Canis lupus familiaris: one gene and its partner. Each later gene encodes a partner of the first gene's protein in a complex. Links are inferred from orthologs where the notes say so. Each region holds a gene or a part of one and is shown in the gene's direction. Other genes may lie near its edges. The genes, in order: HDAC3 and GPS2.

The links.
Region 2: HDAC3 (region 1) and GPS2 share a complex: the UniProt entries of both Homo sapiens proteins name them as parts of the N-Cor repressor complex. The link is inferred for Canis lupus familiaris from reciprocal best matches to the Homo sapiens genes HDAC3 and GPS2.

Annotation. Positions count from the first base shown.
Region 1 is NC_049223.1:35,735,190-35,738,988, reverse strand, and holds part of HDAC3 (histone deacetylase 3), read left to right. Parts: intron 1-137; coding exon 138-219; intron 220-349; coding exon 350-406; intron 407-526; coding exon 527-582; intron 583-966; coding exon 967-1,100; intron 1,101-1,626; coding exon 1,627-1,707; intron 1,708-2,092; coding exon 2,093-2,166; intron 2,167-2,330; coding exon 2,331-2,395; intron 2,396-3,309; exon of another isoform or gene 3,310-3,523; coding exon 3,524-3,613; exon of another isoform or gene 3,614-3,746; coding exon 3,747-3,799. UniProt on the Homo sapiens protein: Histone deacetylase that catalyzes the deacetylation of lysine residues on the N-terminal part of the core histones (H2A, H2B, H3 and H4), and some other non-histone substrates.
Region 2 is NC_049226.1:32,479,177-32,483,751, reverse strand, and holds GPS2 (G protein pathway suppressor 2), read left to right. Parts: upstream 1-1,533; 5' UTR 1,534-1,652; intron 1,653-1,848; 5' UTR 1,849-1,917; coding exon 1,918-2,011; intron 2,012-2,320; coding exon 2,321-2,430; intron 2,431-2,509; coding exon 2,510-2,622; intron 2,623-2,752; coding exon 2,753-2,832; intron 2,833-2,924; coding exon 2,925-3,007; intron 3,008-3,199; coding exon 3,200-3,353; intron 3,354-3,459; coding exon 3,460-3,549; intron 3,550-3,630; coding exon 3,631-3,710; intron 3,711-3,797; coding exon 3,798-3,893; intron 3,894-4,076; coding exon 4,077-4,160; 3' UTR 4,161-4,252; downstream 4,253-4,575. Other genes in the region: NEURL4 (neuralized-like protein 4), read left to right, coding at 33-145, 241-406, 807-1,011. UniProt on the Homo sapiens protein: Key regulator of inflammation, lipid metabolism and mitochondrion homeostasis that acts by inhibiting the activity of the ubiquitin-conjugating enzyme UBE2N/Ubc13, thereby inhibiting 'Lys-63'-linked ubiquitination.

The DNA of each region.
Region 1 (3,799 bases):
GCAGATAACTCAGGCATATAGGGGCTGGGGAGAAGTTTATTGAAGAATGGGGGTTAGAGGAGTTTGGGGTCAGGGGAGAGGTGTAGGAAGGGCCTAGAGAGAGGTAAAGGGCTCTGACTTACTTCTCTTTCCTGCAGCCCAGTGTTTCCCGGGCTCTTCGAGTTCTGTTCTCGTTACACAGGCGCATCTCTGCAAGGAGCAACCCAGCTGAACAACAAGGTGCCTGTGGCCCTGAGTCCTGTTCTCCCTTTCCTATGGGCCCTTCCAGCTCAAGGCCTTAACCCTGACCCTGAGCTTCCAGCTTTGGGGGTGGGCAAGTAGGACTATGAGCTCGGTGTTTGTTTTTCAGATCTGTGATATTGCCATTAACTGGGCTGGTGGTCTCCACCATGCCAAGAAGTTTGAGGTGAGTGAAGAGGTGATGGGGGAGACAATGAGTGCCCTAGCATAGGTGGTCGGGATGACATCAGGGGCAGCTGGGTAGAGGAATTGTTACTCTCTTCGTAAGACCACTGTCTCACCATAGGCCTCTGGCTTCTGCTATGTCAATGACATTGTGATTGGCATCTTGGAGCTGCTCAAGTAAGTAGCCTGGGAGGAGATGGAGGGATATGAGACCCATGGCCGAGGAGTTCTATTACACTATGCTGGCCCTGACCCTTTCCTCTGCCCCTACACTAGCTTCTTCATAGTTTTTAGTGCTTTACTCAGACTACCTATTCCCTGCTCTGCTGCAGACTCCCTGCTGCCCACTCACATTTCAGTCTTCTCTGCACATCCCTCTCCTGTCCCTGCCTCCAGGCAAGAGTCCCAGCGTTGCCTATAGGGAACTGGTATTAGGTTTCAGGTGATTTGGGCTTAAGTAGAATCTTCGTAATTCCAGATCTTGTTTTGGGAGGTGTGAATTGGGGGTGTTCTTGCTGGGGTTCCCTTCTACCTCAGACCCTGGCTTGGCTCTCATTCCAGGTACCACCCTCGGGTGCTCTACATTGATATTGACATCCACCATGGTGATGGAGTTCAGGAAGCGTTCTACCTCACTGACCGGGTCATGACAGTTTCTTTCCACAAATACGGAAACTACTTCTTTCCTGGCACAGGTATGGGAATAAGGATGATCATCCCCTTCACACCCTCAACTCTTTACCGTGATAGCCTCCTGCTCAGCCTTCAGGTCTTGGCTCAGGTGACTTCTCAGAGAAGTGTGTCCTCACCACCACAGTTAGAGTAATCCCTCCTTCCCCATTACTACCCCATGTCACTGCTTGCTTCTCTCAGAGCACTCATTGCTGCTTGTATTTATTGCAGTGTTTTGTTTTGTTTACTGTCTTGTTTCATCATGCCCACCCCCCAAGAATATAAGCTTGGTGGGATTTCATTAATTTCATCCATTCTCTCTATTGCTATATCCCCAGTATCTACTGCACAGGTTGGCTCATGGTAGGCCCTCAAAGATTATTTGTTGAATGAATGTAAGCCACAAGAGAGTAAATGTCTATAGGGAACATGCAGTGGAGGTACATAGATATAGTGAGAGGCCCTCAGTGTACAGATTGAAGTTAAGGCAGCTGCGTTGTGGGTACTTCCTGTGTATGGCTCCTACCCCCTCCTCCCACCTCCCTATAGGTGATATGTATGAAGTTGGAGCAGAGAGTGGCCGTTACTACTGTCTCAATGTGCCCTTGCGGGATGGCATTGATGACCAGAGTAAGTATTGAAGTCTTTTCCCTGCTTACTAGGCCCCTTCTTCCTCTCTTTAAATTAACCTCTTCTGCCTGGTATTGTCTACTGTTGGGCCAGGTGTCCTTAAGGATGAATGGCCTTCAGAGGGACCATTAACCACCCCTCCCTCCCCCGGAAATTGTATGCAACATATTAGGTGTATGTGCATTTTTCTGGGAAAAGGGTCATTGGCTTTCATTAGTCACTCAGAATGCTCTGGGACCCCATCCAAAAGTTGAGAACCATTGATTTGGTTCTTTGGGTTGCCCCTTTCCCTGGGCTACATGCTCGCTCAACCCCTTTTTTCCTTTTGTTCCCTGTCTCCCCATCCCCTTGGGGTGCCAGGTACCCACCTTTGGCCCTCTCTCAGGTTACAAGCACCTTTTCCAGCCAGTTATCAACCAGGTGGTGGACTTCTACCAACCCACGTGCATTGTGCTCCAGGTAATACTCTAGGTGCCTCCTCAAGAGGGTTCTGCTTGGGCTTAGGGGAAGAGAGCAGGGAGGAGGATAGCCCTTGTGTTTATTGGGGAAGTGAAGTGAAGGACATCTGGGACATTCTGGTCAGTTATCCCCCTGCAGCTGCCTGGGGTTTTGCTTTTTTGCAGTGTGGAGCGGACTCTCTGGGCTGTGACCGTTTGGGCTGCTTCAACCTCAGCATTCGAGGACATGGGTGAGACTTGCCCTCCATCTCTGCCCCCAGGTTTTCAAAGTGGCTTTGGGTCTCAGTACATGGAGTAGGTAGGGGTAGTTGGTGAATGGGCCATAGGAAGAATAAGAGAGTCACTCTCAGGCAGAGAGACACTGAGACATGGGAGAGCTGGTGTAGCTGAGGATGTGAAGTAAAAGCAGTCAGACAAGAACACATGTCAAACCATCTCCGCAAGCTGGAGGTGTGGTAAGGTTGGCCTAAGAAGTTGGCAGTGGTAAGATTGTGCAGAGCCGTTAGACCCTGGTGAGAATTCTGGATTGCATTTCAGATATGATGGGAAACTGTTGGAAGATGTTAAACAGGGAAGTGACATGATCCAATTCATGTTTTAAAGCTACTGCTTGGGGCATCCCTGGGTGGCTCAGTGGTTTAGTGCCTGCCTTCAGCCCAGGTGTGATCCTGGGGTCCCGGGATCAAGTCCCACATTGGGCTCCCTGCATGGAGCCTGCTTCTCCCTCTGCCTGTGTCTTTGCCTCTCTCTATTTCTCTCTCCCTGTGTCTCTCATGAATAAATAAATAAAATCTTTAAGAAAAAAAATAAAGCTACTGCTCTGATTGGTGAATGGAGGAAGGTTTAGGGTAGGGGTAGGGGACAGGAGTGAAAATGAGAAGGCCAGTTAGGAATCCCTTGGTGTTGTCCAGGCAGCAGATGTGGTACCTGGGCTTAGGTGGAGATGGCCAATGAGAAGTAGGTGATTTGAGTTATATTTTAGAGGCTGGAGCTGACAGCACTTGCTGGTGCTTTGATGAGAATAGTTGGTTAACAAATGAGATGCCAGGATGGGTATTGAGCAGGAGGGAGGTGGGAAGGTCCTCATTTCAATTTTTACTGAGACACAACATACATATATATATATTTTTTTTTCTTGCTCCACACGCAGGACTTTATTTGGACTGGGGCCGTCACAGGCCTACATACATATATTAAAGTACACATATCTCAAGGGTACAACTCAGTGAATTTCACTACCTAGATCAAGATACGGAATCTTTTCTAGTTCCCTTGTGCCCTTTCCAGGCAATACCTAGAGAGCTATACTTTGGCTTTTGATAACTTCCTCCAGCCATTCCTTTGGTTCCTTTTAACAGAGAATGTGTCGAATATGTCAAGAGCTTCAATATCCCTCTACTGGTGCTAGGTGGTGGTGGCTATACTGTCCGAAATGTTGCCCGCTGCTGGTGAGTATGCTTCCTGATTTTTCTCTTCTTTCTTATCCAATGCGAGTTGGTGAGTTGCGGGCTCCCTGAGATGTGGCCAGATAGGCCCTTCAGTCCACTTGCTCAGGTAGCCCACTCTGCTGCTTTGTTTCAGGACATATGAAACATCACTGCTGGTAGAAGAGGCCATTAGTGAGGAGCTTCCCT
Region 2 (4,575 bases), on another chromosome or scaffold:
TCTTTGTCCAGTCTGCCCGGTCTACACCCTAGGGTGAATCCCCGCCTGGAAGCTGGAACGATGACTAAGAAGTGGCACATGGCATATCACGGGAGCAACGTGGCAGCCATCCGGAGGGTGCTAGACCGAGGAGAGCTGGGAGCAGGTCCGGGGGCAGGGGCAGAGAAGGGGCAAGCCAGGCCTGGGCCAGGAGGCTCTCCCTGCAGGCACCGCCTCCATCCTGACTGGCTCTCCCCGCAGGCACCGCCTCCATCCTGAGCTGCCGGCCCTTGAAAGGCAAGCCTGGGGTGGGGTTTGAGGAGCCTGGCGAGAACTGCGCCCCACCCCGGGAGGAGCAGCCCCCTTCCGTCTTGCTGTCCCCCTCCCTCCAGTATGCTGGGGCCGAGACCCTAGCGTCCAAAGTGCAGTGAGTACATGGGGGCTGGGACTGGGGTCTCCATGGCTTCCCATTGGTGTCCCCGCTGTGACACTTGGGTCTTGTCTCACTCTAGCACATTTACTGTTGAAGGTGACTAGTACTGTGGAAATAAAAGTAGAGTGGGACGCAGTGGGTCCCAGGTGTGCTTTGCACAGGTACAGGCACACAGTAGTCAGGGTAGACATGGCGACGAAGGTTAGGTTTGGGCAGAGGCCTGCAGAGGGAAGCCAGGGAGCGCCCTGGAGAGACCCCAGCAAGCAGGGGTGCGGCCAGAGCCAAGCCACCTCTCTCTGGGAGGTGGGAGTGACCCCCCCCCTCCCCCCCCCCCCGCAGGCAGCCGAGGGAGGAGCCTGGAGGCCTCACGGCTGGCCTTCTTCTTGCCCTGCAGATTCCGGGATCCCAAGTCCCAGCGAACGCACCAGGCCCAGGTGGCGTTCCAGGTGTGCGTGCGCCCGGGCTCCTACACCCCCGGACCCCCTTCGGCCACCCTCCGAGAACCTCCCGACCCTCACTTCAGCCCCGCAGAACTCGAGTGGATAACCAAGGAGAAGGGGGCCACACTCCTCTATGCCCTGCTGGTGCGGGTGGAGTGAGGGCTGGCCTCTGGACGACAAGCACAGTGGGGCCCCCCCGGCCCTGGCTTAGCATCCCCTGCCGCGGCGGGTGCTCCCCGAGCCCCCGGAGCCCCCAGAGCCCGACGCATCTCTGGAGCAGGAACGCATCTCCGCGTGCAGGGCCCACGCCTCCCACTCGGGGCCGGCAGTCTCCCCTCATGCACTGACTCGGGGAACACGACTCCCTGGACTCCCTCCCCCGGATCACTTAATTTATTTCCGTTTTCGTTCCTGTTACTGTGAATCCCGAGGAGCCTCCCCGGGCCGCCGGGCGGAGTGGGGGCGGGCGCGGGGAAGGTGGGCCTCTGTACAGTTGTTACGGACGCGGGTTTCCAAGGAGCCAATAAACGCTGTCCCAGAGCGCGCGCCTCGGCCTCTTTCTCATTCATCCCCCTCTCGCACCGCCCCCCGACGAGCCCCAGGGCTGCCCAGCTGGGGGCGCCCGGCGCGCCGACGGAGTTTGGCCCCCCGCGGCACCCGTCGCAGCCGCTTCCGCCCTTCCCTGCGCCCGTCCCGCGAGGCCGCCGGCCGCCCCGGCTCCGGAAGGACTCGGCCCGGCAGCCGGATGTGACGCGCGGCCGAGGCGCACAGGAGCCGCGGAGAAAGCGCAGCGAAGGCGGGTAGGGAGGGGCGGGCGGCGCCGAGGCCGGAGACCCCAGCCCGCCGGCGCACGCGGAGCACAGGGGCACCCGGAGCACCCGGGACCGGCCGGGCGGCGGAGGGTGGGCGCCGGGCACGTGACCGGGGCGGCGGCGGCAGGCGGGCTTCCGCCTCGGCCCGCGGGCGCGACCCTCCTAAGCGCCCGCTTCTCGGCAGGCCCGGCCCAAGGTCTGGCAGTCCGTGACAGAGCCGGGCGCCCACGGCCCGAGCGTCCCCCGTGGCACCATGCCCGCGCTCCTGGAGCGCCCCAAGCTTTCCAACGCCATGGCCCGGGCGTTGCACCGGCACATCATGATGGAGCGGGAGCGCAAGCGGCAGGGTGAGCCCGGCCGAGGGGGAGGACCCCCAAGCCCCGCACCATGGGCACAGCGCCGCGCCGCGGCCGCGCGGGAGGAGGGTGGGACGGCCCGCCACTGGTGGAGGGAGCTGCAGGCCGGGTCCGGGCTCCAGAAGACTCGGGCCGGGAAGGACCTTGGAGAGCACCTGACATACCCTCCCTCCCAGTCCCCTGGGAGGAGAGGAGCAGAGGGAGCACTGGCACCGGCAGGTTTCCCCGCTTCTCCATCTCTAACGTCCTAGTGTTTTAACCACCCTGCGTTCTTCCCATTGCACCTGGTTCTTTCTCCAGAGGAAGAAGAGGTAGACAAGATGATGGAACAGAAGATGAAGGAAGAGCAAGAGAGGAGGAAGAAAAAGGAGATGGAGGAGAGAATGTCACTAGAGGAGACCAAGGAACAAGTAAGCAGCCCCCTGCTCTGTCCCAGCTTTTTCCTCCTTTGGCTCTCCTGCCGTCAGCTCCTCTCCCCTGCCTTCTCAGATCCTGAAGTTGCAGGAGAAGCTGTTGGCCCTTCAGGAAGAGAAGCACCAGCTCTTCCTGCAGCTCAAGAAAGTTTTACATGAAGAAGAGAAACGGAGGCGAAAGGAGCAGAGGTGGGATTGGAGAGCTAAAAATAAAATTGAGACAGTAACTGGGATGGGTAACACCAGATGGGTGTCTGATGGCAAAAGAGGGGGCACTTGTCTTCATTCTTGGTTTTGACCTGCCTGCCTTTCACTGCAGTGACCTGACCACTTTGACTTCAGCTGCGTACCAGCAGAGCCTGACCGTCCACACTGGGACTCACCTCCTCAGCATGCAGGGTGAGGAATGAAGAACCCGCTTGTTAGAATGCACCCTCCCGGGGGTTGCAGCCACCCCACTGCAGCCTCATGAAGCCCGTCTCCCTGTCTAGGGAGCCCTGGAGGACACAACCGCCCAGGCACCCTCATGGCGGCTGACAGGGCCAAACAGATGTTCGGACCCCAAGTGCTTACAGTAAGGAGTAGCATTGGGTGTGTAGCCCGCCATTTCCATGCAGACACGGGCACCCGCATTAAACAAGTATTCAAGTCACCAATGTTGTCCAGCACTTGACCAAATGGTGGAAAATTGGGCACATACAAGGCGCTTGGGGTTCTGCTTTGGAGGAGTTTCCAGCAGCAGCCAGCGCTCCTCTTCCTTCCTCAGACGCGACACTATGTGGGCTCTGCAGCTGCCTTCCCCGGGACCCCGGAGCATGGCCAGTTCCAAGGCAGCCCCGGCAGTGCCTATGGGACCGCGCAGCCCCCGCCTCACTACGGACCCACGCAGCCGGCCTATAGCCCCAGTCAGCAGCTCAGAGGTGAGCCGTGGGTTGGGAGGGGGGCGCTTCCTCCAAGACCCAGAGGCCGCTGGTCCCAGGCAGGCCCGAAGGAGGCTCGACAGGCTGTGCCTCCTGCCTCCCTCAGCACCTTCGGCGTTCCCAGCAGTGCAGTACCTGTCGCAGCCGCAGCCACAGCCCTACACGGTGCACGGCCACTTTCAGCCCACCCAGACAGGTGAGGATGCCCCCGCCAGGGCCCCAGGGCTGAGCGTCCTCCCCGCCTCCGCGTTCCACACACCCATCCTTCCCTTTGTAGGCTTCCTCCAGCCTGGCGGTGCCCTGTCCTTACAGAAGCAGATGGAGCACGCTAACCAGCAGACCAGCTTCTCAGACTCTGTGAGTACAGAGCCTGGGCAGGGCAGGGGCAGTGCTGGGCCCAGGGGTGCCCCAGGCCGCCTCGGACCCTGACTCTCTTCTCCGTAGTCCTCCCTGCGCCCCATGCACCCACAGGCTCTGCATCCAGCCCCTGGGCTCCTCGCCTCTCCTCAGCTCCCGGTGCAGATGCAGCCAGCAGGAAAGGTAAGGCCAGGGGTCGGACCCGGCTGGGGCCCTACCCTTCCAGGGGGAAAACCAGATTGTGTAGGAGAGGCGGCGCCCACCCCTCCTCTCCCATTTCCTCCTGGGGTGGGGATGGCTGGGAGTTCGGGTGTAGATTGAGGGGCAGGGTACACACCAACGAAGTCCCCCCACTTCTGCCACCAGTCGGGCTTCGCAGCCACCAGCCAGCCTGGCCCTCGTCTCCCCTTCATCCAGCACAGCCAGAATCCACGATTCTACCACAAGTGATCATCAGATTTTATCTTCAGCCTCAGCCACAGCCCCTGACGTGGGTGAGGGAACTTGGTGTCCCAGTCTAATAAAATTTACCTGCCTCTGCCCCTCTGCTGCTGTGTGCATCACCTCCCTCCCGGGCTGGGCCAGGGCTGTGTGGAGGGTGAGGAGTGACAGGCAACTAACAGGTGAAGCTGGGTGGGTGGGTAAGAGGGAACTCTTTGGCATAGTTGTTTATGTGTAATTTCTAAGTTGACTTTCTAGTCAGCAAATACCCATTTAATTCAAAGAAGCAACTGAGTTGGGGCCTTCATATTAAACTTGTAGTTTTATTCAGGTTTGATTTTAACAAATGTGTCGGGGAGAGAGCCCACAGGAAAGGGTAAAGCCCATGGGGGCAGGGCCCTCCCAGATGCCTGAGGAGGGGGCA